Linked DNA regions of Schizosaccharomyces pombe. The protein of the gene in region 3 interacts with the protein of the main gene of each other region in a biochemical or structural test. Each region holds a gene or a part of one and is shown on either strand. Other genes may lie near its edges. The genes, in order: plo1, rng2 and mid1.

The links.
Region 1: of the proteins of mid1 (region 3) and plo1, one has a biochemical effect on the other in vitro, tested with the Schizosaccharomyces pombe proteins (one study listed by BioGRID).
Region 2: the proteins of mid1 (region 3) and rng2 form a complex in vitro, tested with the Schizosaccharomyces pombe proteins (one study listed by BioGRID).

What each region holds. Positions count from the first base shown.
Region 1 is NC_003424.3:2,159,211-2,168,923, forward strand, and holds plo1 (Polo kinase Plo1), read left to right. Parts: upstream 1-5,020; 5' UTR 5,021-5,029; coding exon 5,030-7,081; 3' UTR 7,082-7,555; downstream 7,556-9,713. Other genes in the region: ER zinc importer, CDF family, Zhf1, read left to right, coding at 1-765; Clr6 histone deacetylase complex subunit Pst2, read left to right, coding at 1,362-1,392, 1,439-1,619, 1,698-4,713; putative potassium ion transporter Mdm28, read left to right, coding at 7,996-8,035, 8,092-9,473.
Region 2 is NC_003424.3:2,640,119-2,652,561, forward strand, and holds rng2 (IQ motif containing GTPase activating protein), read left to right. Parts: upstream 1-5,309; 5' UTR 5,310-5,398; coding exon 5,399-9,868; 3' UTR 9,869-10,309; downstream 10,310-12,443. Other genes in the region: myo-inositol transmembrane transporter Itr1, read right to left, coding at 1-1,310; hcs1 (3-hydroxy-3-methylglutaryl-CoA synthase), read left to right, coding at 3,506-3,565, 3,742-5,025; U5 snRNP complex subunit Spp42, read left to right, coding at 10,620-12,443. UniProt on the Schizosaccharomyces pombe protein: Component of the contractile F-actin ring; required for its construction following assembly of F-actin at the division site.
Region 3 is NC_003421.2:1,142,180-1,152,791, reverse strand, and holds mid1 (anillin-related medial ring protein Mid1), read left to right. Parts: upstream 1-2,356; 5' UTR 2,357-2,576; coding exon 2,577-5,339; 3' UTR 5,340-5,476; downstream 5,477-10,612. Other genes in the region: SPOM_SPCC4B3.13 (MatE family transporter), read left to right, coding at 1-549; protein Cwf20, read left to right, coding at 1,078-1,950; TIP41 type 2a phosphatase regulator Tip41, read left to right, coding at 5,651-6,409; ubiquinol cytochrome-c reductase assembly protein Cbp3, read left to right, coding at 6,885-7,736; cytochrome c oxidase biogenesis protein cmc2, read right to left, coding at 7,993-8,083, 8,146-8,324; ppc1 (phosphopantothenate-cysteine ligase), read left to right, coding at 8,751-9,701. UniProt on the Schizosaccharomyces pombe protein: Scaffold protein that anchors the contractile ring (CR) at the cell equator during cytokinesis.

The DNA.
Region 1 (9,713 bases), on a different chromosome or scaffold from region 3:
CATGACCATGGTCATGATCATCCTCACACCCATACCGCTCAAAATTACGATTTTCCTGAAGAAGATGATATTGAATCCGTTTTACCTTCGACTATCGTTCATCGTTGTAATACCAGTCAACAAGAAGTCAGCCATACACACACTCAAGTCGCAGACTCTGCTACCGAATCTTCTCCTTTATTGAGTTACACTGGTAATCATAATGGTGCTGGTACTTCAAAGCCAGTCAACAACCATGGCAGTATTGAACAAGATGCACCAAAACAAACGAAGAAACGAAATTTGAATATGCATGGTGTCTTTCTTCATGTCTTGGGTGATGCTCTCGGTAATATTGGTGTTATTAGTGCTGCTTTATTCATCAAGTATACTGACTATTCTTGGCGTTTCCTCTTTGACCCATGCATTAGTATCCTTCTTACTTTCATTATTCTTTTTAGCGCAATTCCTCTCTGTAAATCCGCTGCTCTCATCTTATTACAAGTTGCTCCTCAAAGCATCAAACTGGATGATGTTTCCAACCTAATTAATCATCTAGACGGCGTGGAATCTGTTCATGAACTCCACATCTGGCAGCTTTCGGACGTTAAATTAATTGCCACTGTTCATGTCTGCGTTACACTTCCTGATGATAAGGGAGAGTCTTATACAAAGCTTACTACGGATATCCGTAATGTCCTTCAATCTTTTGGTATATATGATGTTACCATTCAACCAGAATTCGCCAATCATCCGCTTTTATGTGACCAAGGTTCCTCGTCTTAGTTTGCGAACATTATAAATTTAACGTGGTTAATCTATTGTGTCACATCTTTTGATTTATTCTTGAGGTAAAATTTTATATTGAATGTTTACTTTGTTTCATTTTTAAAGCGTAATTTCTTCTGCCATTCCTGTTCGTATTTAAAAACTTTATTTCACCATCTTGGTTGTTTGTTTTGCGAATGCACTTAAGTAAAGTAGTCGACAACTTAACTTTGAAAGTAGATAGTTTTCGATTTCTTATTCTTGATGAAGACGATGCATAGTTTCGGTTTTATTAAATCTCTATTATTCTTAGAAAATAATGTTTAGATGTAGTGTTTAATTATTTAAAAGGAATATTTTTTAACAATTATATTGGGTTTGATTCTTCTCGTTAGTATTTTTTCTAAAGTATTCGTTGTAAGTGTAAAACACCATCCAATGTGGTATTTGTGTTCATGTCTTGATAAATCATTTGAACTTTGGCTATCAGCGTCAGTTCATGTAATGCGTTGACGAGTTTGTGCGCTTAGTTGCATTTGCCGTTTCCCAAATCATCACCTCCAAAATAAACGAGATCGTATTCCTAGTCATTTGATGGTTAAAGATCAAAATACATGGAACAAACACTAGCGATATTAAAAAATGGTACGTATCAATTTAATACATAACTCATTTTAACCAATGTTGTTAGACAACTCAACGTTAGTGGCCGAGATGCAGAATCAATTAGTCCATGATTTTTCCCCTAATGGTACCGCACTCCCCGAGCTTGATATAAAGGCATTCGTTCAAAAGTTGGGTCAAAGACTGTGTCATCGTCCTTATGTTTATAGCGCTTTCATGGATGTTGTGAAGGCTTTACACAATGAAATGTATATATGGCTTATTTACTGAGTTGCTTTGAGATAGCTCTTTTTTTATTACTATTCACTTATTAACATGAACATTAGTGTCGATTTTCCCGGGTTTATTGAAAGAATATCTGTAATCTTAAGAGATTACCCAGATCTTTTAGAATATTTGAACATCTTTTTGCCCTCGTCTTATAAATACCTTTTATCGAATAGCGGTGCCAACTTCACATTGCAATTTACCACCCCATCTGGTCCAGTTTCTACACCGTCTACTTATGTAGCTACTTACAACGACTTACCTTGTACCTATCATAGAGCTATAGGATTTGTTTCACGAGTTCGACGAGCATTATTGAGCAATCCCGAACAGTTCTTTAAATTACAGGATAGTCTTCGTAAGTTTAAAAACTCTGAGTGTTCGCTTTCTGAGCTTCAGACTATTGTAACGTCTTTGCTAGCGGAGCATCCATCTTTAGCCCACGAGTTTCACAACTTTTTACCAAGCTCCATCTTTTTTGGGAGTAAACCTCCTCTAGGATCGTTTCCATTAAGAGGAATTCAGAGTTCCCAATTTACGTTGAGTAATATTTCTGATTTGCTTAGTCAATCAAGGCCGGACAACCTCTCACCATTTTCACATTTATCAAATGAGAGCAGTGACTTTTTCAAAAATGTGAAAAATGTACTTACCGATGTAGAAACTTACCACGAATTTTTAAAACTCCTGAATTTGTACGTTCAAGGGATAATTGATAGAAATATTCTGGTGAGTCGTGGGTTTGGGTTTCTTAAATCGAATTCGGGACTTTGGAGAAGCTTTTTAAGCCTTACTAGTTTGAGTCCGGAAGAGTTTTTATCTGTATACAATTCCGCTTGCTCAGACTTCCCGGAATGTGGCCCGAGTTACCGATTGCTTCCTGTCGAAGAACGCAATATTTCTTGCAGCGGTAGAGATGATTTTGCATGGGGTATACTTAATGATGACTGGGTCAGTCATCCAACTTGGGCATCTGAAGAAAGCGGTTTCATTGTTCAGAGGAAAACGCCTTATGAAGAGGCAATGACAAAGTTGGAAGAGGAACGTTATGAATTTGATCGGCATATTGAAGCTACTTCCTGGACAATCAAGTCTCTTAAAAAAATTCAGAACCGTATAAATGAATTGCCGGAAGAGGAAAGAGAAACATATACTCTCGAGGAAGGGCTAGGTTTACCATCAAAAAGTATATACAAGAAAACTATTAAGCTTGTTTATACCAGTGAGCATGCAGAGGAAATGTTTAAGGCCTTGGAAAGAATGCCTTGCCTCACATTACCATTGGTAATCAGCAGATTAGAAGAAAAAAACGAAGAGTGGAAGTCTGTTAAAAGAAGTCTTCAACCTGGATGGCGAAGTATTGAGTTTAAAAATTACGATAAGAGCTTAGATTCACAATGCGTTTATTTTAAGGCAAGAGATAAGAAGAATGTATCTTCAAAGTTTCTCTTAGCAGAAGCCGACATTCTACGATCGCAAGCGAAGCTCCATTTTCCTTTGCGAAGTAGATCAGCTTTCGAATTTTCTTTTGTATATGACAACGAAATAGTACTTTTTGATACTTGTTATATGGTATGCACATACATTGTATGTAACTCTCCCTCTGGTTTAAAGAAAGTTGAGCATTTTTTCAAGAATATATTGCCTTTACATTTTGGTCTTGAAAAGGATAAATTTTCGATATTCCTGGATCAAGTTTTTCGTGGTCCTGATTACGATGTGAATGCCCCGAATATAGTTGGTAACAAGCCTGTACGTCGGAAAAGATCTAATTCTATAACCCAGTTGACGGAATTTGTAAAACAACCTAAAATCAATGGTCAACGCGAAAGTCGTTCAGCTGCAGCTGCTCGCAAAAAAGAAGAATCCGGTAACAAATCACAATCTAACTCTCAAAACTCTTTAAGTGATGAATCTGGAAACGTAACGCCGGTTTCTAAGAAACAGCTTTCACAACCTGCTGCAGCCATTAAAGCCAGTCTCAAATATCCAAGTCATCCAGATAGTCTTTTGGAACATCAAGATCATGCTGGTGATACGGAGAATGAAATGCATGACGACGTCGATAAAGAACAGTTTGGATATTCTTCTATGTACGTATTTTTTAGACTTTTTAACTTATTATACGAAAGGCTTTATGAGCTTCAGCGTTTGGAGGATCAAGTGTCCATTATCCAACAGCGTATAATACCAAACCCAGTATCTCAAAAACAAAAGATTTGGCGCGATAGGTGGAATGATCTTTCAGATGTCCCTGATGAAAAAACTCATTACGAAAATACTTATGTGATGATTCTTCGATTAATATATGGGATAGTTGATCAAAGTGCCTTCGAGGACTATCTGCGGTTTTATTATGGCAATAAAGCCTATAAAATATATACTATTGATAAACTCGTTTGGTCTGCTGCTAAACAAGTCCACCACATCGTTTCCGATGGAAAATACAAATTCGTTACTAGTTTAGTCGAACAAAATAGTTCTGCTTCGCCTAAGAAGAATTATGATGACTTTCTTTATCGCTTGGAAATTGAAAAGCTTTTGAATCCTGATGAAATTTTGTTTCGATTTTGTTGGATAAACAAATTTAAATCATTTGGAATCAAAATAATGAAGCGAGCGAATCTTATTGTGGATCAAAGTTTGGATACACAGAGACGAGTTTGGAAAAAATATGTTCAAAATTATCGTATACAAAAACTTACTGAAGAAATATCTTATAAAAATTATCGTTGTCCCTTTCTTTGCAGAAATATAGAGAAAGAAAGAACAGTTGAGCAATTGGTTTCACGCCTTCAAACAAAGTTATTAAGATCTGCAGAATTGGTTTCCGGATTGCAAGCAAAATTATGTTTAGACTCGTTTAAATTGCTCTACTTACCACGCACAGAAGATTCTTACATAGATGCATCTTACCTGCGCCTTAGAGATACCGACTTCCTTGATTGCCAGAATAAAAGAAAACAGCGTTGGAGAAATCGATGGGAATCGTTATTAAAATCGGTTAGGGGAACTTCTGACAACACGGCAGAGGTGAATTTTGATGCTGACATTAATGCACTATTTATCCCATAATGATTTTAATGCAGTCGACCTACCTATTGATCATATTTACTTAAATACAATTTGACTTTAATAGTTTTATATTACTTTGTTAACATAACTTATCTTTCTAGGTATTTTATAATTTCAAGGATTTATGTATAGTACGAATTTACTGAAATTTTTGCACATAAGCTTTGTATTAAATTTTCTAAAGCCGTACTTCTGTAATTACTACATAAAATATTACAATGCACAGATTTTTATTTACAAACAAGCGGTTGTCGTAGCAACCACTTTGTTTACCCTCAAAAGTTACCACCTGCGTTTTGTTAGAAACAAATACCAAATGGCGAGTGTTGCAATTAAAGAGCCCAAAACTGCTATAACCCCGAAGAAGAAGTCCAAAGCCTCTCGTCTTTGCTTTACTCCGCCAACTAATCTTCATAATAATAAAAAAAATATATTCTACACTCGCTACGATTGCATTGGTGAAGGCGGCTTTGCGAGATGTTTTCGAGTCAAAGATAATTATGGAAATATTTACGCTGCTAAAGTTATTGCTAAAAGGTCACTACAAAATGATAAAACAAAGCTGAAGCTCTTTGGAGAAATAAAGGTGCACCAATCCATGAGTCATCCAAACATCGTAGGATTTATAGATTGTTTTGAAGATTCGACGAATATTTACTTAATTTTGGAGCTTTGTGAACATAAATCTTTAATGGAACTTTTACGTAAGCGAAAACAATTAACTGAGCCAGAGGTTCGGTATTTAATGATGCAAATTTTGGGAGCTTTGAAATATATGCATAAAAAGAGAGTCATTCATAGAGATTTAAAGCTTGGAAATATTATGCTTGATGAGAGTAACAATGTAAAAATTGGTGATTTTGGGCTTGCCGCGCTTTTAATGGATGACGAAGAACGTAAAATGACTATCTGTGGTACACCGAACTACATCGCACCTGAAATTTTGTTCAATTCAAAAGAAGGACATTCATTTGAAGTTGATCTTTGGAGTGCTGGAGTAGTCATGTATGCCCTCTTGATTGGAAAGCCACCCTTCCAGGATAAAGAGGTAAAGACAATTTATAGGAAGATAAAAGCCAACTCATATAGTTTTCCTTCAAATGTCGACATATCTGCAGAAGCAAAAGATTTAATTTCTTCTCTTCTGACACATGATCCAAGCATTCGTCCCAGTATTGACGATATTGTTGACCATGAATTCTTTCACACTGGCTATATGGCTTCTACACTTCCAGATGAAATTTTACATTCAATGCCTATATGGCCTTCTTCCCAATCAAAATCAAGCTTTCAGAGAAACCTGGACTTCGTTGCCTCTGCTTCCGGAGTAGGCTTTGGAAATTCAGCAGGTGTAGAAAAGAATAAACCTTATGCACTTCGAACAGATGAAGTTGATAATGATCGAATATTACCAAGTGTTTTAAGTCCAAGGGACCGTGTCAACCCTGTTATGAAAATAGGACCGGAAACCAAACCTGTACCATCAAAGCTCTCTACAGCCCTCCATGCAGCTCGTAAATCCACTGATGGAAGTTTAGGCTCAAGAGTTAAAGTTTTGAGAGAAGAATCACAATCATTTGTTCCAACTAAGAGCGCTGTCACTGAACAAGTTGAACCTATTCAATTAATTCGGTCTTTATCTGCAAATACAGTTTCAAGACTTTCTAAGGTTGGAAATATGAAATCAGACATTTGGATCAGCGTAAAGAAGACAGCTCTTAAAATCGGGATGGCATTGGAAGCACATACACACGCTTTAACTTCAGAGGATGCTGACTCTGAGCCCGTTCTTTTTATTACAAAGTGGGTTGATTATTCCAACAAATATGGTTTAGGATACCAGCTATCCGATGAATCGGTTGGCGTACACTTTAATGATGATACATCCTTGCTTTTTTCAGCTGATGAGGAGGTTGTCGAGTATGCTTTACATCCTAAAGATACAGAAATTAAGCCATATATTTATCCTGCTTCCAAAGTTCCTGAATCTATAAGAAGTAAACTTCAGCTTTTAAAGCACTTTAAAAGCTATATGGGACAAAATCTTTCGAAGGCTGTGCAGGATGAGAGTTTTGAAAAACCCAAAAACTCAACTTCCAATACCATGCTTTTCATGCAGCATTATCTTCGTACGCGTCAAGCTATAATGTTTAGATTAAGTAACGGAATTTTTCAGTTCAATTTCCTGGATCATCGAAAAGTTGTTATTTCCTCTACCGCACGGAAGATCATTGTATTAGATAAAGAGCGAGAGAGAGTGGAATTGCCTTTGCAAGAAGCATCCGCATTTTCAGAAGACTTGAGATCTCGCTTAAAGTATATTCGCGAGACGTTGGAATCGTGGGCGTCGAAAATGGAAGTGAGTTAATAATACCGTTAATCTATACTTGGGCGTTAAGTTACTATGCTGTCTATTTTTCCATATTTCACATCCTCATTTTTGTACTATTCATCCATTCAATTCAGTTTTATGTTAATGTTTTACTAATTCTTTTTTTATTATTTCTTTCCCTCAGATACATCTTTTAAACGCAGGAGCTCTTGACGAATAAGTTATAAACTTAAATTATAGCTGCAAATATCAGCTTAATCCCTTTTCAAAATTTTTTATTTTTTGCTTTTAAATTGATCGCTGCAAATTCTGTCTTAAGGCGACACTTATTTATCTAATCAAAAGGATTCACAAATCTCAATGTTCCAAGTGTTATCCAAAATGTTAGACTAGTCACAGCTATGTTAATTGATTTTTATTCTCTCGCTGTAACTGAAATCCTTTTCACAGATTAGATACATGTTTTGCTAATTATGTCAGTAAAATGTGTACAGTTGAGTTCAATCTGCTGCATATTAAGAATCACAGACTTTGTAACACCAAATTAAATTAATTAATAGTAGCATTATTTATTGTTTACAAGGCATTAATTTATACTTCACTAAGTATATCAAAAGAGCAATAGTACTGGTTTTTACTAGCAACTGTCACGTTGAATCCAAATAGCAGGAACATTTTTATAATAAATAGGCTGATGCGATAAAAGAACTGTTTGCTTTTAAAGTACTTATAAACTAATTCCAGCAATACATAATTAGTAAATAAAATGCTTTCTCTACCTACGCTATGCTATGTTAATAGCGATTGAGGAAATTACCTAACGGACAATACACTAATTAGTTTAACGAATATGAAGCTTTGCGTAGCATGCGTTAAATCTCTTTACTATTTCATAAACAAGCCGAGTCAAATTGATGAAGTATCCAAGAACGCATATCCAATTCCCCAGTATGCTTCGGAATCGTTTGTTTAAAACCCCACATCAGACTGGTAAGGATATTAATGCTTTTTCAAATTGCTCTTCAATTTGTACTAACGTTTTGTAGGCTTTCAATGGAGGTTAGGCGCTCCGGCGACGGGAATTACAATCAGGAACCAACCTATTAGAAGCTATTCAGGTCTGCGAGGAAATTTTTTGATTGATAAAAGACTCTCTCCTGTCAAATTTAATAAATATAGTCCATCAGATATAGTATTCTATAATATCGGCTCTTCAAGACTTTACTCTACAGAAACTCCTACTCCTTCTAAAGTTAAGGAAGCCCCGAAACAGGTTGCTGCGGAAGAGACTAAGCCAACTACTGTGGTTAAAAAACCGTCAATATGGCAAAGGGTTAAAGGCGGTGTATTACATTTCTGGGATGGTACTAAACTTCTTGGTGTCGAGATTAAGATTTCTTCAAAACTGGTTTATAAGATGGCTGTCGGTTACGAACTTACTCGTCGTGAAAGTCGTCAACTTACCAGAACTTTAAAGGATATTGGAAGACTTGTTCCATTCTCAGTGTTTGTTGTTGTGCCGTTTGCCGAATTATTGTTGCCCATTGCAGTCAAGCTGTTTCCCAATTTGCTTCCTAGTACATTTGAAGATGCAAAGGATAAGGAGGCTAAGAAAGCACAACTTCGAAAGACTAGAAATGAAGTATCCAACATGCTACGAAGCACCTTAAAATCGGGAAAATTTACTTTCTCCAACGAGACTCGTGAATCTAAAGAGTTCAGAGATTTTTTTCAAAAGGTGCGTACTAGTGGTCAATCCCCATCTAGAGAAGAATTAATTGAGGTTTGCAAATACTTTAAGGATGACATAACTCTTGATAACTTGTCGCGTGCACAATTAGTAGCTATGTGTCGCTACATGAATCTAAATGCATTCGGAACTGATCCTCTATTGCGTTATAATATCCGTCATCGAATGCGTCAAATTCGTCGTGACGATCGTGCTATTTACATTGAAGGAATCAACTCACTTTCAATTCCCGAGCTTTTCAATGCCTGTAATTCTCGTGGTATTCGGACTCAGGGCCTCTCTCCTGCTAAGTTGAAAGAAGAATTAAGTGTCTGGCTTGATATGCGTATCAAACATGGAATTCCTTCTGTTATTTTGATGCTTTCAAACGCATTCTCTTATGGATATAACGAGGGTACTTATGATTCACGCTGGGATGCACTGCAAGATACTCTTGCTTCTATCCCTGACGAGCTTTATCATGAGACTGTTGTTGATATGCCAACAAAACAAGTATCAAACAAGGAAAGGCTCGAAATTTTACGCGAGCAAGAGGAGCTTATTGAGGAAGAAGCTGAACACGTCGCGGAACATCCAGATTTGGCTAAGAAACAAACGGAAGAAAACAAAGCTACTTCCAAGCCTGCAGTCTCTGCGAAGTCACCGGAATCTAACATTCCAAAGAATGAAAGAAAATAATTTCTGTGATTTTCCAATCAACTCTTGTTTTGCAACTTTTCCTTTTAGAATTTTGTTTAATTATGTCTCACAATCCGTCATATCTGTTTATTTTTCAATCCATTTAACTTATTTCTACCATTCTTTTTTAAGTTTTTCCTTTACGCTTTTAGGTTAGAACTTGAACGCCTGCATCCTAGGACTGCTTTTATTCTAGACTACCTCTTTTTTGTGGTGCGTATTTGTTTTTGCCGCTAAATA
Region 2 (12,443 bases), on a different chromosome or scaffold from region 3:
TGACCAGAAGTATAATTGCCATTCTCGTCTTTCGGCAAAAAATGAAAAGCCACCGCGCATACAATTAAAGCAGCAATCATTCCCCATACGGTCAACAGGAGCAAGATTCTTCGACCAAAAAAATCAATCACACCAAAGGCAACAATGGTAAATACAAAATTAGTAGCTGCAATGATAAGACCAGTAGCAGTAGGATTGTTAAAGCCAACAACCTCAAAAATAGTACTAGAAAAATACATTAATGAATTAAATCCGGAAAGTTGTTGCATCGCTTGCAGTCCGCAAGCCAGTATCAATGCACGGAAATTTGAAGGATTGAAATATAATTCTTTAAAAGTTTTCACAATCTTTTGCCATCTAGATCCTGAAAAAGGATCACGAACTCCTTCTTGAATTAAATAGAGCTTAGTCTTTATTTCGTAAGGGTGAGCAGTAGGATAGATTCGAGCCAGAGTGTTATAAGCCTCCTGAGATCTTTCTTTTTTAACTAACAAACGAGGAGATTCGGGTAGCCAAATAAGAATGAATAATTGGAAAGCTGCAGGAACCATTGCTAAACCAACCATCCAGCGCCAACCATTATGGACGTGTTCAAAAGCTGTATCAATTCCATAGGCAATTACTTGACCAGCTGTAATTAATAAAACATATATGATAACCAACCTTCCGCGTATTTTAGACGGAGCGATTTCACTTAGGTACAAAGGAATAATAAGTGATGCAATGCCAACGCCCCAACCGATAACAAAGCGACCTACAATCATATGCCAAAGATGGTGAGCCGTAACCTGTACTATGGAACCAACTATGATGATGATACTAGCTATTGCAATTACCGGTTTTCTACCAAAAAAGTCGGCAAGGGCACCAGCAATTATCCCTCCTAAAAGTGCACCAAGAGATGTTGCAGAGGTGATAAATTCTTTACCACCATTTGTTAATTCATGTCCGCCCAAGCTAGTACCTATAACTACAAGAGCACCTGAAATGACACCTGTATCATAGCCAAACAGTAGACCACCGATACCGGCAGCAAAAGCAAGCACCCAAACCCATTTGCTAACTGGTTGATCTTCAACAGTGTCGTTAAGTGCGTGTGGCTCAGATAAAGAAATGTTAGAATTGCTGCGACTTCGAGCTCCGTTAGATAATCTAGACACGCTGTCCACAGGAAGCACCTGGGTTTTGTTTTCAAAAACCGAGGATTCAAATGGACTTTTTTTATCAGCAGCAAATGTATCGGCAGCGAAAGTATCATCAGCGAAACCCGCTGACGTTACATTTTGAAAATCCTTGGAAGAGATTGACATCTTGCTGAAACTTTTGAATGTAAATTAATAAGATTATAATTAAAGGAATGGTTTTTAACGTTAACAAACTAAACAAATAAATCGTAAGTATGACAGGAAACCTAAAGATGAAGTAAAAATCGATAATGAGCGAAAGCGCTAATAATTTTTTAGCATTCGAAGGGATATGTTCAAAGGATTGCTATGATATGCAATCAGTACAACCCAGAAACTTGTTATATTTACCGCTTAGATAAAAGATGTATCCGAGGAACTCTGTTCTTAAACGAAAAAAAAGACGTTAACAAACAGTTACAACGGATAAGACCGGAATTTTCGAAAGAGAGAAGTAGAAAGTGTTGAAATGTCAGCAATTAAGAATGGTTGTCTCACACTTCTTAACAATAAAACCAATGAATCTTTTTGATTTTTTAACGTTTCTAGATAGAATTGTTTAAAATACGTTTGGGTTAAAGAGCATTTAACGGCAAACTTTTTGACAGCGGAAATTAATGTGCGTCTAGTAAATGAAAACAGAAATTAAAAGGTATTCAGACAAAGAGATCAAACGTTAAGTAATTTTTTTTAAACTTTTTTTTTTTTTTTTTTTTTTTAATTGAGAAGGAAGTAGTTTTTAATAAGCTAAACAGACGTCAATCAACATAAACACATAGAAATATGGATCAAACCAAATGTGCATATGCGCTTAACACTTAGCAAAGATGCGTAATCGGCAGAATTAAATGCTTTGGAAGCTGGTTTGAATTAGCAAGCTGAATCGTTAATCAAAGTATAGGAACATAAACCCAATGGTGACTTCAATAGAACGAATCGATTGAGTATATCAATTCCAAACGCTTTGTTAATAGAGAAAAATAGCACAGCAACAGAATCGTTTTGACTTTTAGCAGTTGAGGAATGTAAAAAATGTAGAAGGGCATATATATATATACATGCGCTACTGCAGCATCCGATTCGTAATAGCGGAACGAACTAAGGTAATACAATGTAAGCTCGTTATTTTTATGCTTCTTTTGTTTTACAGTCTCGATTTTTGTATTAAATTAATTAATTATTTATTTTTGGTTCTGTAAATAAATAAGAAAAAAAGTAACGACTTTTCTGTAGAATATAAGTTTAATTTTGTGACTTATTGCTGCTTATAGTGGGTTTATTGAAATACACAATATTACTCGAAAAAAATCAGACATTTTGAAAGACTAATTCAAACGTTAAATACAAATCACTATGTTTGGTATCCGTAAAAAGCACCTTGCTATCAATTAATAAATTACTACTTGAATTTCGAATGGATGGAGGCAGCAATAATTCAATTCTTATTTTTTAATGCTGTTCAATATTTATTTATTTTTTATGTTTCGTCCAAAAAAATATTGGATTTAAGTGCCGCATATAAAATTTAATTTAAAATACGAGCGAACTACTGCCGACTTAAAATAGATAATTTGTATGCATATTTCAAGTGGAATAAAGCCGATAAAAACGTAAAATTGAAAAATTATTATATGAAGTGGACTTGTTATAAACGGAGTAGTAAAACATAAAAAACCATTACTTCTTAAATTTTTCACTTCTTTAATCTGTACTTATTTTAAACAATTCTATTTGTAATTTCGTAAATGCGATATTTATGGGTTTATTAATTTCTTAAGTATAAGTAATACACGAGTGCAGTCAGCATAGCCAAATAATTAATTTTTAGAAAACAGTTATGAATTTCTATTTGAAACAAAGTACGATTGAGAAGCGAATTGTTCACTTGTCCACCGTTTGTATTTGTATATTATTTGCAAAAGAATAAAACGCAAGATAAATGTTAGCCGAAAATATAACGTTAGCAATGTTATTCCTTTTAATATTCAAGAATTGGTCGATCTTATCATACGAGAAACGTGAACGTATGATACAAAGCTATTCCCAGCTAATAAATAAATTTTTCTATGAATAATAATTTATTTATTAATCGTAGATTCAGAATTTAATTGAAATATTATAATAGCTCAAATAGAAAAATTCCTAAACACACGTACAATAAGATACGTTGCAACGCGTTAACACACTGTCGCTCTAACTAAAGCTATCTGTTTCATTTAACCATAACCAAGATACTTCGATAATTTTCCGCTTAGTCGCCTCACAAATAGGTTAGTGCAATCTTTTTTCAAAACCCTCACACTTTGTAGAAACTCAAGAAAATGTCCTTTGATAGAAAAGATATTGGTATTAAGGGCCTCGTGTTGTACACTCCCAATCAGGTATGTTATAAATGAGTCGCTACTTTATTTCAAAACTTCTCCTCCAAATTATTTGCATGCATTACCTACATCTTTTTTCAATAGTACAAATTTACGCAAGCTTCAGAGGAAAGTAATAGAAATACTTTCTCATTAAATTCCTTCAGAACCTGATATTAATCGTTTTTACCCTATAGTATGTTGAACAAGCTGCCCTCGAAGCGCATGATGGAGTCTCTACTGGAAAGTATACTATTGGCCTCGGCTTGACTAAGATGGCTTTTGTCGACGATCGTGAAGACATTTATTCCTTTGGTCTTACCGCTCTTTCTCAACTTATCAAGAGATACCAAATTGATATAAGCAAGATTGGTCGTTTGGAAGTTGGAACTGAGACTATCATCGATAAATCTAAGTCTGTCAAAAGTGTTTTAATGCAACTTTTTGGGGATAACCACAATGTCGAAGGTATTGATTGTGTTAATGCCTGTTATGGTGGCGTGAACGCTCTTTTTAACACAATCGATTGGATTGAGTCTTCTGCTTGGGATGGCCGTGATGGTATAGTTGTCGCTGGTGATATTGCTCTCTATGCCAAGGGCAATGCTCGTCCTACCGGTGGTGCTGGTTGTGTCGCCCTTTTGGTTGGTCCTAATGCCCCTATTGTTTTTGAACCTGGTCTACGTGGTACTTACATGCAACATGCTTACGATTTTTACAAACCCGATTTGACGAGTGAATACCCTTACGTTGATGGCCATTTTTCTCTTGAATGTTATGTTAAAGCTCTTGATGGAGCATATGCTAATTACAATGTTCGTGATGTTGCTAAGAATGGAAAAAGTCAAGGACTTGGATTGGATCGTTTTGATTATTGCATTTTCCACGCTCCTACTTGCAAACAAGTCCAAAAAGCATATGCGCGTTTATTGTACACCGATAGCGCTGCTGAACCATCTAATCCCGAGTTGGAAGGTGTCCGTGAACTTCTTAGCACCCTGGATGCTAAGAAATCCCTTACCGACAAGGCTTTAGAAAAAGGTCTTATGGCCATAACTAAAGAGCGTTTTAACAAACGAGTTTCCCCTAGTGTCTATGCCCCTACCAACTGTGGTAATATGTACACTGCCAGTATTTTCTCTTGTTTAACTGCATTACTTAGCCGTGTCCCCGCTGATGAACTTAAAGGAAAACGCGTCGGTGCTTACTCTTATGGTTCTGGTTTGGCTGCCTCGTTTTTTTCATTCGTTGTCAAAGGCGACGTCTCTGAAATTGCCAAGAAAACTAACTTGGTTAACGATTTGGATAATCGTCATTGTTTAACCCCTACGCAGTATGAAGAGGCTATTGAGCTACGCCATCAAGCACACTTGAAAAAGAATTTTACTCCCAAAGGAAGCATCGAACGTCTTCGTTCAGGTACTTACTACCTTACTGGTATTGATGACATGTTCCGCCGTAGCTATTCGGTGAAGCCTTAAATCACCGAAAAAAAGATTAGAATGCAAACTAGATACTGTTAAAATCTCTTTTAGTAGACTTTTTTTTGATACATGAATATGTGATTTTGACAACTTTTTTGTTAATTATTTAAAACTCATACGTATTGTAGTCTTAAAATGAATAACCTTCATTTGTAATAGCATAACCTAAATAATTAGAGTAAATTCGTCACTAACGGACAGTATCTTGAATTAAACTACTTACACCTAAAAACCCCCCACTCATCTTGATAACCCACATTTTCTTTGTCTGAGTAACAGCTACTCTCCACTAACATAGCCGAAAAATTGTGTGCAGTTACTTTATCTAGTTTGAGATCGAATGCTGAGTAGGTAGTCATCAGAAGTCTCAATGGACGTAAATGTGGGATTATCTAGACTTCAATCTCAAGCTGGGGCACCTGTTGGCACGAAAGGGTCGAACACTCGTTTAGCAGCCAAACAAAGAGAAACCCTTCAAGCATATGATTATTTGTGTAGGGTTGATGAAGCAAAAAAATGGATAGAAGAATGCCTCGGCACAGATCTAGGACCAACGTCTACATTTGAGCAGTCGCTGCGAAACGGAGTTGTCTTGGCTCTCTTGGTTCAGAAATTTCAACCCGATAAACTAATCAAGATATTCTATTCTAATGAACTCCAGTTTCGCCATTCAGATAACATTAATAAGTTTCTTGACTTTATCCATGGCATTGGGCTTCCCGAAATTTTTCATTTCGAACTGACTGACATTTACGAAGGGAAAAATTTACCCAAAGTTATCTATTGTATTCATGCCCTTTCTTATTTCCTTTCTATGCAGGACTTGGCACCCCCTTTAATCAAGAGTGATGAAAATCTATCTTTTACTGATGAAGACGTTTCAATAATAGTCCGTAGACTCCGACAATCTAATGTAATCCTTCCTAACTTCAAAGCTTTAAGTGCCGATTTTATGCTTCGTGCTAGTCCTGTTTCTTCTCGCACTCCTTCCCCTACACGATTTCCCAAGCATGCTCGTTTCCAAACCCTAAATTCATCAGATTCTGCATCTATATATTCGTCTCCTTATACTTCTCCTACTTTAGAATTTTCGAAGAAAGATGCTAGCGCTCGTTCAGACATCCTTAAGATGCACAGAAGGACGAAATCAGCGACACCTTCGTTAGAACAATTTAATGAACCATATAAACAAACTTTGCCTAGTCATTCAATCGAATTCGAAGACTCTTTTTTTCAACCCCCTTCTCAAAAGGGACATATGCAACGATCTTTCCTCACAACATTTTCAGCACCCACAAGAAGACGGGAGGCACTATTTTCTACCACTTCTGGACTTAGTCAGCGTAGCCCTGTCGATGAGAAAATCGTGAACGCGATTCAAGCTTGTGGTCGTGGCGTACTTGTGCGCTTGCGTTTGGTGGATATGTTACAATCCCTCGTGGAACAAAGTTCTTCTGTCGTACTTCTGCAAGCCGTAATTCGTGGATATATATCTAGAAATACATACAGAATACGAAAGAAAGCATACGATGAACTTGTAAACTGGGTTACTTCTATTCAATCCATCTCTCGTGCATATCTGATACGTGCACAATACCGTAAAGTGGTTTTACAGGAGGAGGCAACGAAGTCAATCCAAACGTTACAAAGCATTATTCGTGGGGGTTTCTATCGTCGTAAATACCACTCGTTAATAGAGAGGCTAGACTTATTTACACCATCATTTGTGTTAATTCAATCCTCAGCTTTAGGATTTCTTACCCGTCATGCAATAGTTAATATGCTTGACAACCTTTACAACTATATCCCTCTCTTTAACCGGATGCAAAGTATACTGCGTGCAAATATGTTTCGGAATGAATGGTCTAACTTTCTAGATTCCGTACAATCGTTTCCCGTTTCTTTTCACTCTATTTGCAAAGGACGCTTGATAAGGGATTCTATAAACAGATTAAATGGATCACTTCTGGGAGAACTGGATAATTTTATTAAACTACAAAATTTATCTCGAGGATTTATGATTCGTCGGGCATTTAAAGAGAAATTGGAGAAATTAAAAGCATCAACATCCTCTTTCATTGCTCTACAGGCAATTGTTCGGGCTTTTCTTTTAAGAAAAAACTTGGAAAGCATTTATGATTCTTTTCAAAAATCGCACCTATCTGTCATTAAAGCCCAATCTCTTTATCGGGGATTCATTACTCGAACCAAAATTGATTATTGTAACGACTATTTGTTAAAGCGATTACCAGATATCGTGTTTATGCAATCTGCAGTCCGTGCAATTCTTTTACGAGATGATGTGAATTATACTGAAGTTCAGTTAGATTCTTTTATTCCTGAAATTGTATTGTTACAATCTTTAATTCGTGGGTATCTATCTCGAAACAAATTTTCAAGAAAACTTCAAAATTTTCATAAGAATATGGAGAATCCCATAGTTGCGAAGTCCATTTTTAGGGGTCGTCAAGAAGGGTTGGCTTATAGAGAACTTGCTACGGCCAAAAATCCACCTGTTATGACGGTCAAAAATTTTGTTCATTTATTAGACGACACCAATTTCGACTTTGAGGAAGAAGTATTGCTTGAAAAAATGAGAAAAGAAATTGTGCAACAAGTACGAGACAATGAAGAAATTGAAGTTCACATCAATGAACTAGACGTGAAGATTGCTTTGTTGGTTAAAAACAAAATCAGTTTGGATGATGTTTTAAAACATCACAACAAGTATAAATTTGGAAAGCAAAGCACTGAATATTTAAAAATTAATACTCTGTCTATGAAGTCACTCAACAATTCAAGCAGAAAATTTTTGGAACTTTATCAGTGTTTTTTCTATGTGTTACAAACCAACGAAATGTACTTAGCAAATTATTTTCAAGCGCTAAAAACTGAGGGCACTTCCTCTGTAAAGATCCGTCATGCTGTTTATTTAGTTTTGCAAATTTTCGGCCATGGCTCTAACCGACGAGAAGAAGTACTACTTTTGAGATTCATTTCCCAAGTCATTAAGCTAGAAGCAGCTTTAGTTAATTCATCTCAGGATCTACTTTCTGATGACTGTGTCTGGAAATTACTGTTCACTGGATATCGTGGGGACGTTCGTGAAGTGAAGCTTTGGAAAACTATTCTCGGCCGCATTCACAAGGTTTTAGTAGCCGACAATCATTTGGATTTTGAAATCAATCCGTTGACTCTATTTAAAAGTTTCAATCCTGAAGTTGCCAGTCAAACTGATAGTCCAAAACTCACTTTGTCGTTAGCAATGCAACACCCACCGACAAGAAATCTATACGTTAGCAGACTTCGTGAACTTCGAAAACTGTGTCAATCATTCCTAGTAGCACTTTCTAAGAATATTGAAAATATTCCTTATGCTTTATGCTATACTGCAGCACAATTGAAAAATAGCTTACAACGATATTTCCCCGCTGCGCATAAAGAAGAAATTTTTGGCGTAATAGGGAAATTTGTTTATTGGGCTTATGTCGCTCCTGTACTTGTGTCACCCGATAACTTCAAGTTGGTTGATGGCTCTATTACAGCTCTTCAACGAAAAAACCTTTACACATTGTCAAGCATTTTGTCTGAGATCTTTTCAATCGAGTCCTGTGACTCTAAGCAACTTGGTTTTTTTAGACCACTCTCCGAGTTTATTGAGGTGTCCAAGCAGGATACCATGTTGATGCTAGAAAGGCTTGTCGATGTGGTTGATCCAGAGGTGTACTTTGAGTTCGATGCTTTTGAAGACCTTGTTAATACCAAGCGGCCAGTAATATACATGAAGCGAGACGATATTTTAGGCATTTATTCATCTATTGCATATGTCATAGATAGTATTGCTCCTCCTGATGTGAACGATCCATTACGCGCTGTTGTCAATAGCTTAGGTCCTGTTTCAGAGCAAGACAATGACTTTGTGCAAGATGAAACTGACGTCAAACTAGAATTGAATCCCAAATTTTGCACTATAGAAAATCCCGTTGCTCAGGAACGGACTCTTATTGTTCAGACAAAGAGATATATATTATTTATTATTCGAATTCAAAATGGCCTTAATCTTTTGGAAATACTTGTCAAACCGGTTACAGATTCAGACGAAGCAGCATGGCAAAATTTATTGGCAGAAGAATCTGAAAAGAATGCAAGGAATTATGATTTGTTTGATGATTCTATCTTTTCAATGTCATTTGCAGAACTGAAATACACTGCACTAAGCAATATAGTGGAAATGGAAAAGCTTGGATTTGCAAACCGACGGAATAATTACCAAGATATGGTAAATTCTATCGCTCTAGATATCCGTAATAAGTCGAGAAGAAGGATGCAACGACAGCGTGAACTTGATGCGGGACATCAAAGTTTGCTTAACTTACGAGAAAAAAGAGCTTTCCTTGATTCGCAGCTAAAAAGTTATAACGAATACATTGAACAAGCTATGGAAACATTACAATCAAAGAAGGGTAAGAAGAAGCTTATTCCTTTTTCTAAACAGTATTTTCACATGCGAGATCTCCGAAAATCTGGACGCGTTCCTCGCTTTGGGTCGTTCAAGTACCCAGCTCTTAAACTCTATGACCGAGGAGTTTTGGTATCAATATCTCATATGCCGCAGAAAGAAAAATTGTATATTACTATATCAGCCGATGAAGTTGGCAAATTTATTCTGGAAGCAACAAGCCCGACAGTTAAAGTTTCGAGCCCAAGGTGTGAATTGCATTTGGACGACTTGTTGTCTGCTCAATATAACAAGGTTTTAACTTTGGATGTTTTGGATGGCCGTCTCAAATTAAACACCAATATGTTCTTACATTTGATTTTCTCCAAATTTTATTCATGAGACGTTTCACTTTGTTCATTTTTCCGTCTCTTTAACTACCCAATGATTTAATTCGAATTAACTTAAAACCGTCAAATATCTTTGCACATTAATACTTGTCCATATTCTTTTGGCGAAATATGTATACTATGTGATATTTTCTCCCCTTTAATTCTGATAATTTGCACAGTTTTCCCATTTCATTCACTTAGTGTGGGGGGTTTTTTTATCACTACTTGTGTTTACTTATACTGTACAAATCTTATTTAACTCGGTGTTATTTTTCAAATTTTTTTTTTCAACTAAAGCCGTTGAACCTGAAACACTAAATCAAGGAATAGGAATTTTTGGTTTATGCATACTAGTTGTACTTGGTAATTTATACTTTCTGAATTAGTTAAAGGTTTATAATTACAAATAACACTTTTTTATAACAAAATGTAATTTATGTCAATACATACATCTTTACTAATTCTTATAAGGCGATTCGATTGAGCATGATTATGTTCAAATTAACCTTTGGATATGGGTAGGTGTTTGGTTGACAAACTTCTTAAGCGTGTTGCATTTTAACGAAGAAAATTTGAATTTTCAAATCCCGTATAGCGTGTAAAAAAATATACATTAAACACGTATTATGAGCAGAAGACTACATAGACCTAATATGAAATAAAACGCACAAAAGAATATTACGCACAAATAATGGCGAGGGTCACCACCATACAAAGTAATATTCACTACCACAATTCAGCTGACAAATACCATTACCTAAATGGCGTCGTTACCACCGGGGAATCCTCCTCCACCGCCTCCTCCGCCTGGATTTGAGCCTCCTTCACAGCCTCCACCTCCTCCACCTCCAGGTTATGTGAAGAAAAGAAAAAACAAGACTCCAGCACAGTCTGGAAATCTTGAAAAGCAACTTAACGAAAGAGCACGCAAATGGCGCGCTTCTCAAAAATCAAAGTTTGGTGTCAAAAGGAAGCAGGGTTATGTTCAAACAGAGAAAGCTGATCTTCCGCCTGAGCACCTGCGCAAAATTATGAAAGACAGGGGAGATATGTCTTCTAGGAAGTTTCGTGCTGATAAACGTTCCTATTTGGGCGCTTTGAAGTACTTGCCACATGCTGTGCTAAAATTGCTTGAGAACATGCCAATGCCTTGGGAAGAATACAGGGAGGTCAAGGTTTTATATCATGTAACCGGTGCTATAACTTTTGTAAACGAGAGTCCTCGCGTAATTGAACCGCATTTTATTGCTCAATGGGGAACGATGTGGATGATGATGAGACGCGAGAAGCGTGATCGAAAAAATTTTAAGCGTTTGCGGTTTCCTCCTTTTGACGATGAAGAGCCACCATTTTCTATTGATCAATTGCTTGATTTAGAGCCGTTAGAGGCTATTAGAATGGACTTAGATGAAGAAGATGACGCTCCTGTTATGGATTGGTTTTACGAAAATAAGGCTTTGGAAGATACTCCCCATGTAAATGGTCCAACCTATCGTCGTTGGAAGCTTAATTTACCTCAGATGGCTAATTTACATCGTTTAGGTTACCAACTTTTGAGTGATTTACGCGATGATAATTACTTTTACTTGTTTAATGACAATAGTTTCTTTACGGCTAAAGCTTTGAACGTGGCTATCCCAGGAGGTCCGAAATTTGAACCTTTATACAAAGACGAAGCCCCAGAAATGGAAGATTGGAATGAATTTAATGACATTTATAAACTTATTATCCGACATCCCATTAAAACTGAATACCGGATAGCGTTTCCTTACCTTTATAATTCTAGAGCTCGAAGCGTTGCACTAAGTGAATACCACCAACCGTCTAATGTTTTCGTTCCTCCTGAGGATCCTGATCTTCCGGCTTTTTTTTGGGATCCCATAATAAACCCCATCACTTCCCGCCAACTCACTTTGCATGAACTAGATACCTCTCCCGAAGATTCTGCCATAGAAGAAGATCCTAATTTTGAAATCCCTTTCGATCCTTTCTTTCATTCCGAAGATATAGAATTTGAGCACACAGCCAGTGCTCTGATTTTATTGTGGGCACCCCATCCTTTTAATAAGCGATCTGGTGCGACTAAGCGTGCGCAAGATGTTCCACTGATAAAGCATTGGTATTTAGAGCATTGTCCTCCTAATCAGCCTGTTAAAGTTCGTGTGTCATATCAAAAACTTTTAAAATCCCATGTTATGAATAAGTTGCACATGGCGCATCCCAAATCGCACACCAATCGCAGCTTACTTAGACAGTTAAAAAATACTAAATTTTTTCAAAGTACTTCTATCGATTGGGTTGAAGCTGGTCTCCAAGTTTGTCGCCAAGGGTACAACATGCTGCAATTACTTATTCACAGAAAAGGGTTGACATATTTACATTTGGATTACAACTGTAATTTAAAACCTACAAAGACATTAACTACGAAGGAAAGAAAGAAATCTAGGTTTGGTAATGCATTTCACTTGATGCGCGAAATACTTCGCCTTACTAAATTAATTGTCGATTCTCATGTACAGTATCGTTTGGGAAACATTGACGCATATCAGCTAGCTGATGGATTACATTACATATTTAATCATGTT
Region 3 (10,612 bases):
ATGTCTGTTTTGTCTACTACCTCGACCCTTTCTTATAATTTGGCTTTCGGTGTCGCTGCTGCAGCTGCCACAAGAGTAGGAAATTTAATTGGTGCTGGAAATACGAAACTCGCTAAGCTAGCTACGCACGTTTCTATCAATTTAGGTGCTGCAATTGGTGTTATCATTGCTGTAATCCTTTTTTTAACTCGCAACACATGGACTTACATTTTTACGTCTGATAAAGATGTCGTCGCATTGGTTGCAACTATCATTCCCCTTGTTGCACTCATTAATATTGCCGATAATACACAATGTGTAGCTGGAGGCCTTCTTCGGGGACAAGGAAGACAAAGGATTGGTGGGGTAGTAAATTTCATCGCATATTATTTATTGGGTTTGCCTGTTGCCATAATCCTTTGCTTCAAGCTAGATTGGGGGCTGTACGGTTTATGGATTGGAATTGGAGCTGCAATTCTAATTATTGCTGGAGTAGAAACTTGGTGCTCATTGCATGTCAATTGGGACCATTTAGTTGAACTTGCTAATCGTCAGTTTGATGAGGCTTAAAAGTTGATACGGACAAGTTAATGATTATTTAAATATGTATTGTGGTTTGTCATAAATTGATATATTTGAAGAGATATGTTCGGTTTATGATACCATGGTTACGACTACTAACAGTTGATTGATAAAAGTATTCGAGTCGGTACTTTTTCCAGTCTTCAAGATTTGGCCATGTTTTGGCCTATCCTAAAAATTAAGTTTACGAAAATTGCAGTGCTTTAAACTCTCATATTTATGAAGCTTATAAAAGTAAATTAAATTAATGGTAATTTGGAATCTTTTTGGGTGATTAATATATAAAATACCACATATGCTAGCTAGCAACGTTGGGCGGTAGCATTCAATTAAATATTATTTCTTTTTAAGACTTACTTAAAGAATTAATTTAAGTTTGAATAAATATGTAAATCATCTTGCAGATGCGAGTATATTAATTGCCATAAATAATTCTGTTCGCAGTGAGAATAGTTACCGAGTACAAATCGCTCGCTCAGAATTATTAAACGACTTAATATCAAAAGTTAATAAAATATGTCTCTGGTTTCATATCCTCGATCAGAATCCGAAAGCGATATTGAAGAAGAAACACCATTAGCTTCTAAAAGTTTCGATCCTACTTTGTTTCAGCATGCGCGCAGAAAATTGTCGGTTGACAGCACTAAAAAGTCACCTAAACGCCTGAAACGGCAAGTTGATTTACAGAAATCTTCTTTTAATGATAAAACTTTTAATGAATCTGATGTTATCTCTAATGAACGATTTAAATCTAATGATTTACTTGAACTTTTGCCTGCCCCAAAAAATCAAGCTGAATTAGCTCCAAAGTCATCTAAAAGATCGGACCTTGATTTAAATGAAAACTATTTATTACCTAATAACTCTGTAAGCGATTTAACCTCTACTGGATCCTCCGAAACTGTCAAGAAATCAACGTATTCAGAAAAGTCTGGTAACGTTTCGTTATTTAATATCGTAGGATCAGAGTCAAAGCAAGCCTCTTTAGTAGATTCCGATCAGAAACCTTACCAACCAATTTTGATAAAACCTAAAGCTAGAGCAAATCCTCCGAAATTGAGGAATCAACCCGAGAACGATTTCATTTCTATTGCTAATCACTCAGTACATTCAAATGCAGAGGACATAAACATTATCAATGAAGATTACATTGAAATTGGACGCCACCGAAAAGAGAAGGGACGAATTATAGACGTTGATATCAACAAACTTCCAAAACCGACCCAAGAAGCATTGCCAAGCGCCCCTACTATTAAAAGTGTTGCACCTGGTCGTCATCAACTGTCTTCTCTTGTTGAAATGGCTATCAGTCAAAAAGACAACTTTGAAGCTTATTTTGAGCAGCAACGATCAAACAAAAAGGCATCTTCTCAAAAGTATGGGTTTTAGCTTTAAGTAAATGTTACGCCCCGATAGTTAGTTTTAGGTTTTAACTGCTCGTGTATTTGTAAATTAAAAGCTGTTTATCAACAGATTCATTTTATGTATTTTTTTTTAGTTTCTGCGAAAATAGCAGACAACAAAATATGATTTTACTTATTTTATTTTACATACTAATGACTTTATTCATCGCTATTCATAAGCATACTGATAATACAATATTATCTTTGCAAGTATGTCCCAGCTATAATTCATATTTGCAATGCAACTAGCCTTTTTTTGTTAATTTTAAAAAGGAAACTTGGCTTTAATCTTCGATTTATGGTATATCCAGAGTTTGAATTGTTTAACCATATAATCAGTGTTCTCACTGGGACTACCACTTATCATAGCGTCTACCGATTTTGTGTGACCTATGCCTACTCCACATGACTGAGGTGAAGAAGGATTTCAATAAATTATAAGAGGTTTTCGTGCTTTTAGCATCAATTTTAATAGAATTTGAATTAATATTTGCTATAAAGAAGAAGGCTCGTCTTTTGTTGTACTTCAGGGTGCTTATATGATACTGTGTCCACATTTTAACACTCGATAAGGTATTATAGTCTGTAAAGTCTAATTAAGCTATCCTGACGATGAAAGAGCAAGAGTTCTCATATAGAGAAGCAAAAGATGTGTCTCTTGACTCTAAAGGCTTAGAAAACAGTTTTCTTTCTTCTCCAAATCGAGAAAAAACACCCCTTTTTTTTGAGGGTAACAGTAATGAAACCTCGGGATATGATCAAACAAAAAACTTTACACATGGAGATGGCGATATGTCCCTTGGAAACCTTTCGGAACTAAACGTTGCGACAGATCTTTTAGAGTCACTTGATTTAAGAAGCATGTATATGCATGGCTATGGGCACCTCGATTCATCTTTTTCTTCTCAACATAGTCCTGATAATCGTAAAAGAATGAGTAGTACATCAGTGTTTAAGAGGATTAATTCCGAGGAAGAAGGTCGCATTCCTAGTTTGACGTACTCGGCAGGAACTATGAACTCGACAAGTTCTTCTACTGCGTCTTTGAAAGGTGCTGATATTGTTGCAGATTATGAAACATTTAATCCGGATCAAAATTTAGCTGAATTATCCTTTGACCGCTCCAAATCGTCTCGCAAGAGGGCGGTAGAAGTAGCAGAATTTAGTCGAGCTAAGACAATGTCTCCGTTGGAATACACTGTTCAACATCCATATCAATCCCATAATGAACTGTCTACAAACCCAGCCCGAGCAAGAGCTGGAAGCGTTCCCAACTTGGCTCGCATACCATCTGATGTCAAGCCCGTACCTCCAGCACATCTATCTGCATCTTCTACTGTAGGTCCAAGGATTCTTCCTAGTCTTCCCAAAGATACCACAGAGGACAATCCAGCGTTGGAAAGGGTCGAAACGACGGCGTCTCTCGATATGGATTATAAACCTTTAGAACCTTTAGCTCCCATTCAGGAAGCCCCTGTTGAAGATACTTCAGAGCCTTTTTCTTCAGTCCCAGAGGCCACCTTAGACGACTCAGATATCTCTACAGAAAGTCTTCGTAAAAAGGTTTTGGCCAAGATGGAAGCAAAACGGATTTCCAGTGGATCTTCCTATGCTAGTACACTTAGGAAAGTTTATGATTTCTCTGAGCTTTCCCTTCCCACCAACGGTAAAGACTATGATGAGTTATACCTTCAATCTTCCCGTAATTCAGAACCTGAGATTTCTACTATTATCAATGATTCTTTACAACAGGAAAATATGGATGAGGATATTAGTGCCACTTCAATTCCGAAATCTCAGGCCGCCTATGGTCATGGATCTGTAACGTATCATGAAGTCCCCAGATACAATCTAACTTCTGCTTCCGTGGGATATAGTATATCTAGTCAACGTGGTCGTATAAAAAGCAGTTCTACCATTGACAATTTGAGTGCTATTTTAAGCTCTGAAGATTTACGTCACCCATCAATGCAACCCGTACCAGGAACGAAGCGTACTTATAGTAATTATTGTGAAAATGAGCCAAACAAGTCTAGCCAAAGTTTAGTCAGTTCTGAGTCCCATAACGTCGAAGGATGGAATTATTCGGAAACTGGTACAGTAGGTTTTTACGACCCTAGTGCCGAGATATCCGCCAGCATTGATGAACTTAGGCAGTCTACGCCTGTAGCCAGAGATAGCGAACTTTTAAGTCGTGCACATTCCTTTGATTTGAATCGCCTTGATCTTCCAAGTCAGGATAAGAGTACGTCTTACGAAGTCCCGAATGGTACTGAAAATCAATCACCACGTCCTGTTACTTCTCTTGGATTTGTGAATGAAACATTTTTTGAAGAGAAACCAAAGGCGCCCTTGCCACTTGGTCGCTTTTATATACATTTGAACAGCATTTTGAATATTTCGATAAGTGAAGTCCATTCACCTATCAAGATAATAGTTAATACGCCTACGCAAAATATGCAGCTTCCTTGGCAAGCTGTTAATGGGAATAATAGGTTGGACCATGATTTTGCTTTTCATGTTGACGATAACTTTAAAGTGAGTTTTATGTTTCTTGACATCCCTATTGAGGACAAGTCCAACGGTTCGAAAGGAGTATCTGCTACAAAAGACGTTTCAAACGGTAAGCCTGCTGAAACGAAATCCAAAGCTAGGAAATTTTTTGACAAGCTTTTCAACCGACGCAAAAAGAGAAAACTCAACAAGGCTGCTGCAGTTGAGAATTCAAAGGCTAAGAAGTCAGTGGTTATCAAGAAAGTCTCGGGTACTGCTACGTTAAATTTGGGTAATGTCAAAGACAGTTGTTTTGGAAAGGCTTTCAACGTAGAAATACCCATCATTTCCAGAGGCTTCTTGGAAGCGATTCCTGTAAAAATAAACTCTATAGGGAAACGTACACTTGGTAATCTAACTTTGACTTGTTTGTATATTCCTGAGCTTTCGGTTCCAGAGCAGGAATTGCCATTTACCTTAGAACAAGCTACGATGGACTTGCGACACGTTAGAAGTAACTATCTATATAATGAGGGATACTTGTATAGATTGGAAGATTCATCTATTCGAAGACGTTTTGTCGTTTTACGCTCAAAGCAGCTGAATTTTTATGCTGAAAAAGGTGGGCAATATTTGGATACTTTTCAGCTTTCTAAGACAGTAGTTTCAATCCCAATGGTAAATTTTTCAGAGGCAGTTTCAAACCTCGGTCTAGTAGCTGGAATATTGGCTACATCTGTTGATAGAAGGCATGTTCAGTTGTTTGCGGACTCTAAAAAGGTTTGCCAAAAATGGCTTCAGGTGATGAATTCACGCTCGTTTGCTCTAGATAGGGGTACTGAGAAATTATGGTTACAAGAATACGTGAATTTTATGGCTTAATATCTGAATTTATGAATACTAATCGTCTTAATGTATTTTTTGAATAATTTTTACTTATCGGATTTACTAAATGAGGGAGTTGAACTGAAATTATATAACTACTGAATTAATACTTATAGATCATTTTTCATTTTTAATCTGAATAATTAATCAACTTTTGGTTTTTTGAATATACTCTATAATGAGTAAAGTAATATAAAGGTGTTTTGTGTTGGCTAAATTTACATTACCTATATTTTGCCGTACGCACTCTAAATTGTTACAATAATATAGGGGTCAAGCAACTACTCAAATCACATTATTTAAAGGAGATGCAAAAACAAGATGATTTTTCATTTAAATATTGGACTATCAAAGTCCAACGGGGGTCAATTTTAAAAAGCCATGAGATGGAGAACCTTCAAAGTACATTGGGTTTTCCACCTCCTGAGATGACCTTTGGGAATAATTACATCTCAATTGAATACAAGAATCAGCCTGTAGTTGGATTTTTTACTGAAGATGCTCTTAAAATGGTTGGTACCAAACCTGAAGATGTAATGCAAGTTTCTTTTGCAAAAGACTGGGCCAAATCCAGAATTAAGCCCGGAGAAGAATACCCTGTGATTTACCCATTTGATTGGACTTATTATACTGATTATCAGGGAACTATACAACGTCCAAATGCAAAATTCATTGAAATTGATCAGGTAATACCTGTTCAAAAAATACTTAACGCAGGACAAAATTTATGGTTCAATGAGATAATTCTTTTCGAAGATGAGTTAGCAGATAATGGAAAATCAATGTTTGATGTGAGAGCTCGAGTTGTTCAGGGTCATTTAATATTGTTAGCACGCCTTGTCGTACGTTTAGACAAGGTAAATGTTCGATTGAATGAGACGAGGATATATATTGATTTGTTGAATGATTTTCTCTTGAAGGACTGCCGTAAAAAGCAAGCTACTTACGACAAAATTATTAAACAAATACCTGTGGGGGGAGACAAAGCTGCATTGCTAGATGATAACAATTGGTTAAGTGAGCGCCTTGATACCGTTGACCATAAAATCTATAAATTGAATTTTTGATGCTAAAATGATTCGCTAATGGCAGACATGAGAATTTAGAACTTTTGTCAACGAATGAGTGTTGAAGCAATTTACAAGTTTATTACGTTTAGTTCATGGTAATATTTATAATCATTTTCAACTAAGAGGTTATTAATTTAGGTTTTCTAATTGAGAAAGCAAAATAAATAGATACAATCTTTGGTACGATTAAACGGCGAAGATATACTACTGAAACTGCAAACAAATTTAAAATGGTCCAGTAAATTTTAGAGTATACTTAATTAGGAAGAATGATGGCCTCGTAATATTGATCGTTCGTTATAACATTGTATTTGGCAATCAACCTGTCACAACCTCTCTTCCCCTTTATATTGTACGACATTAATCGATCCGTTTTTTATTTCAACCCAACTCCTACGTATTTATTTGCAGGTAATAATTAATTTTATTAATTAAGAAAAGATTATCAAAAGATCCTTATCGTCATTCAGTAATGAGTCGCTGCTGTTTAAATTTGCCATTGAGACCAGCATTTGTTAAGCAGCCGGTATGGGGGAAGAGTATATACGGTCCCTTAAGAAGAAGATTTTCATTTTCTCCAATAAATGTTATTAATCATTCACCTTCGGAAACGAAGAGAAGAGACCCAGTAGAAGAACTCAGATACAAACCCCTTACACCTCCTCAAGATCCACGTAAAGTGGCTCCGCCAAATAGTTTTCTAAAGAAAATAAGTCTTATTTATCAAAAATATATCTCTCCTAAACAAAATTTATATTATGAGGCTACTGGTACTGCAAGATACATGTATTTTGAGGCTGCTCGACAAGCTACCCCCGAAAAAAACTCGCTAGGTGCTTTTGAATTTTGGTACCAGAAGTGTGAAATTCCTATGACATTTCAGTCTTGGTTTCAAATAACGCAATTACATTTGTGGATCCTCCATACTCGCATTCGTGGTTTGCCAAAAAATGAAAAAGTTGCCTTTTCACAGGCATTAACTACTCGTTTCTTTGAAGACATGGAACTCAGAATTCATAAAGATTACCGCATTAATAGCAATCGAATTTCTGGTATGTATCTGAAAGATCTGTTTCAGCAACAGACCGGCGCCATTTTTGGTTATGATCAAGGAATGCTGGGAAGTGATGCTGTTTTGGCTACATCCGTTTGGCGTAACCTTTTCGTTGGTCGCCCAGACGTCGACTTAGTAATTCTTGAGACTATTGTTAAATTTATTCGCCTCAATGTTTATCGCCTGTCATGTTTATCAACCGATGACTTTATCAATGGGAAGGGAGTACACTTCGTCCCACCTGAAGAAAGTGCACAAACAAATATTTGATTAATAAATGATTGCTACTCTAATGATTAATAAATTGACGAACGGTCATGTTTATTATGCAAAACCATGAATCTTTTTTGTAAATAATTACTTTGAAAGCTTTTACCATTACGTTAAATTGAAAAGTAATGAGGAGCTTTTGAAATATTTTATAGTAGAGAATGTTTGTCAATTTAATTGAAATCGTAGCATTATGTTGTATTGGAACTAGTATTTTAATAGCAGTTAATACCGATATTATCGATGCATTAATTAGCTACTTCTTTTCGTCTTGCTTTCCGATAAAGCTTTCTTGTTTAGCTTTATTGTATTCCGACCTGATCTGCCACTCCGATATTTCGTCTGCGCTGCATATTCCATATTAGTTACATATCCTTTTTTATACATGATTGATGAATAAGTTTCTTACGCTTTGGTTAAACAATCCTTCATCGTTTTATTTTCACTTCTACATTTCCAGGTTACGCTAAAAGTCCTGCCAGTAGCGCATTTCACAAAATCTTCAATTTCTTTCTGGCAATTTTTTTTTAATAGCTTTTGGTGCTGTTTCCGAAGATCAAATTCCTCTTCAATTGGAGATTTATTCATTTTAGATAATCAGTAAAATGTTGGTAACTAAACCACGTTACCCAACAGAGCGCAAATAAATGAAAATTTTTAGTCTTAAGTTGATTAAAACACAAACTTAAAATTTATTTTAATTTTAGCTTTTCATAAAAGACAAGCACGAGTTGAATAAAAAAAAAAGGCCTTAAGTGTAATACAATCACAAAGTGTCGCGTTTCAGTCGTTTGTGGTGTCGCTATCGTCTACATTGTTCAATAAACAGACCACTACTTGCTGAATTTACAAGCTGCTAGAGAACTGTTTGGTTAGCATTTCAGATTTTGTGAGTTCTCTAGTCCTATCATTCAGCAATAACGCATACAGTTTTTTAAACGTCGTTTGTTTATTTTTGAGCTCATCGTAAGAGAGGCATTTCTGGGTTGCGATACTCTTAGCTATTTAGAATATATGCCAGAAATGGATAAATCTAACGATTTCTTTGAGGAGAATCCTTGTCCTAACTCACTCGGTGATGTCTCAAGTCTGATTGAAGATTTTATAAACCTTCAATCAAACTCCCAAAACATTGCATTTGTTACTAGTGGCGGCACACTTGTGCCTCTTGAGCAAAATACGGTGCGTTTTATCGATAACTTTAGTGCAGGAAATCGTGGTGCAGCATCTGCTGAATACTTTTGCAAGTCTGGATATTCGGTCATTTTTCTGTATAGAAATTATAGTTTAATGCCATTTACTCGACGATATGAAGGTCCCTGGACAAATTTGTTTGAAAGAAGTAATGGCAGTCAGGAGAAGCCTTGGATTGTCAAACAAGAGTTTCAATCGACAGTATTCAATGCACTCAACGAATTAGATACATATACGAAACATCATCGACTGATAATGATTCCTTATACTACACTCACAGAATATTTGTGGTACCTGAAAGCTATAGCTGAACGTTTACAGATAATCGCTTCAAGAGCATTGTTTTATTTAGCAGCTGCTGTTAGTGATTTCCATATTCCACCGAAGGAATTGAGCGAGCACAAAATTCAAAGTGGTTCTGGAAGTAACAAATTAGAAGTCAAAATGCATCCGGTTCCAAAATTTCTGCGTTTCTTGGTTGACACATGGGCTCCTGAAGCTTCTATTATTTCCTTTAAATTAGAAACCGACCCTAGTATTCTGATTGATAAAGCAAGAGTAGCTTTACAACGTTATAACCACCAGCTGGTGATCGCCAACCTTCTTTCAACAAGGAAACGATCTGTCGCGTTTGTAACCTCAAAAACGGTTGAATGGCTTCATTTGAGCGACGATGACATTGTAAAAAAGGTAGAAATCGAGCAATACATTGTTTCGAGGGCAATTTCGTTGCACAAGGAACGAATTCAAGAGTTCGCAAAGGCACCTTAAATTATGTTTATTGACGATTAGTCGATTATGAACTTATAAAAAGTACTAGTTATGTTTCTTATCTGCTTTAACTTATATGAACTATCGGTTTTTCTTTTAAACATTTTACTCATTTATATTGTTAGGGTTTATTATGCAAACACCAGTGGTACTTTTTTATTTCTCTATCATTTTCGTCTTGTTATTTTACGAAGTTGCTTTATAGCATTTGTAGAGGGGTTTACGAAAAAAATGAAAGGCTTTATAAATTGCTAATACGAGCTATGAATTGAATCGTGTACTATTGGATCTGTTGTAATTTTTTAAAAATTGCAGCTTTTTTTTTAGATACTTATTACTGTTGTAGATTACTCAGGTCTGAAGTGTGTTAAAGAATATATTAAAAATGATGATTAGTTTATAAAAATCAATGTCAGGAGTATATAGAAAGCAAAGACTTGAATTTAAAATGCGCAACAGTTATCTTGAATGAACAAAAAATAAATAGTGAGTACCTGTAAGTAGTAAGCGTATATGATTGTTTCTAAAGCCTTCAGTTCTTTTTGAGATCCCATACTTCTTATGAGTCGCTTCAAACCCCATGACTAAAATGCTCATGTTTAATTGCAAGCTCACGTACACAAACAACGGCGATTGTTATATAGTTCAATGAAAAACCTATGAGATTTCAATTACTTTTAAAACTGTTAGAGAATCAGAATGCAAAGGTTGGCAGCTCGAAAATGTCGAGGATAAAACAAATATTTAAAAAGGCTATTATGGCTTTTACAGACATTGGTAAATAATTTTCTTTATAAATATTTTAGTAGTTTTTAATGTATATGAAGTCGCAATGGTGTAGTTGGGAGCATGACAGACTGAAGATCTGTTGGTCATCGGTTCGATCCCGGTTTGTGACACTTTTTGTAAAA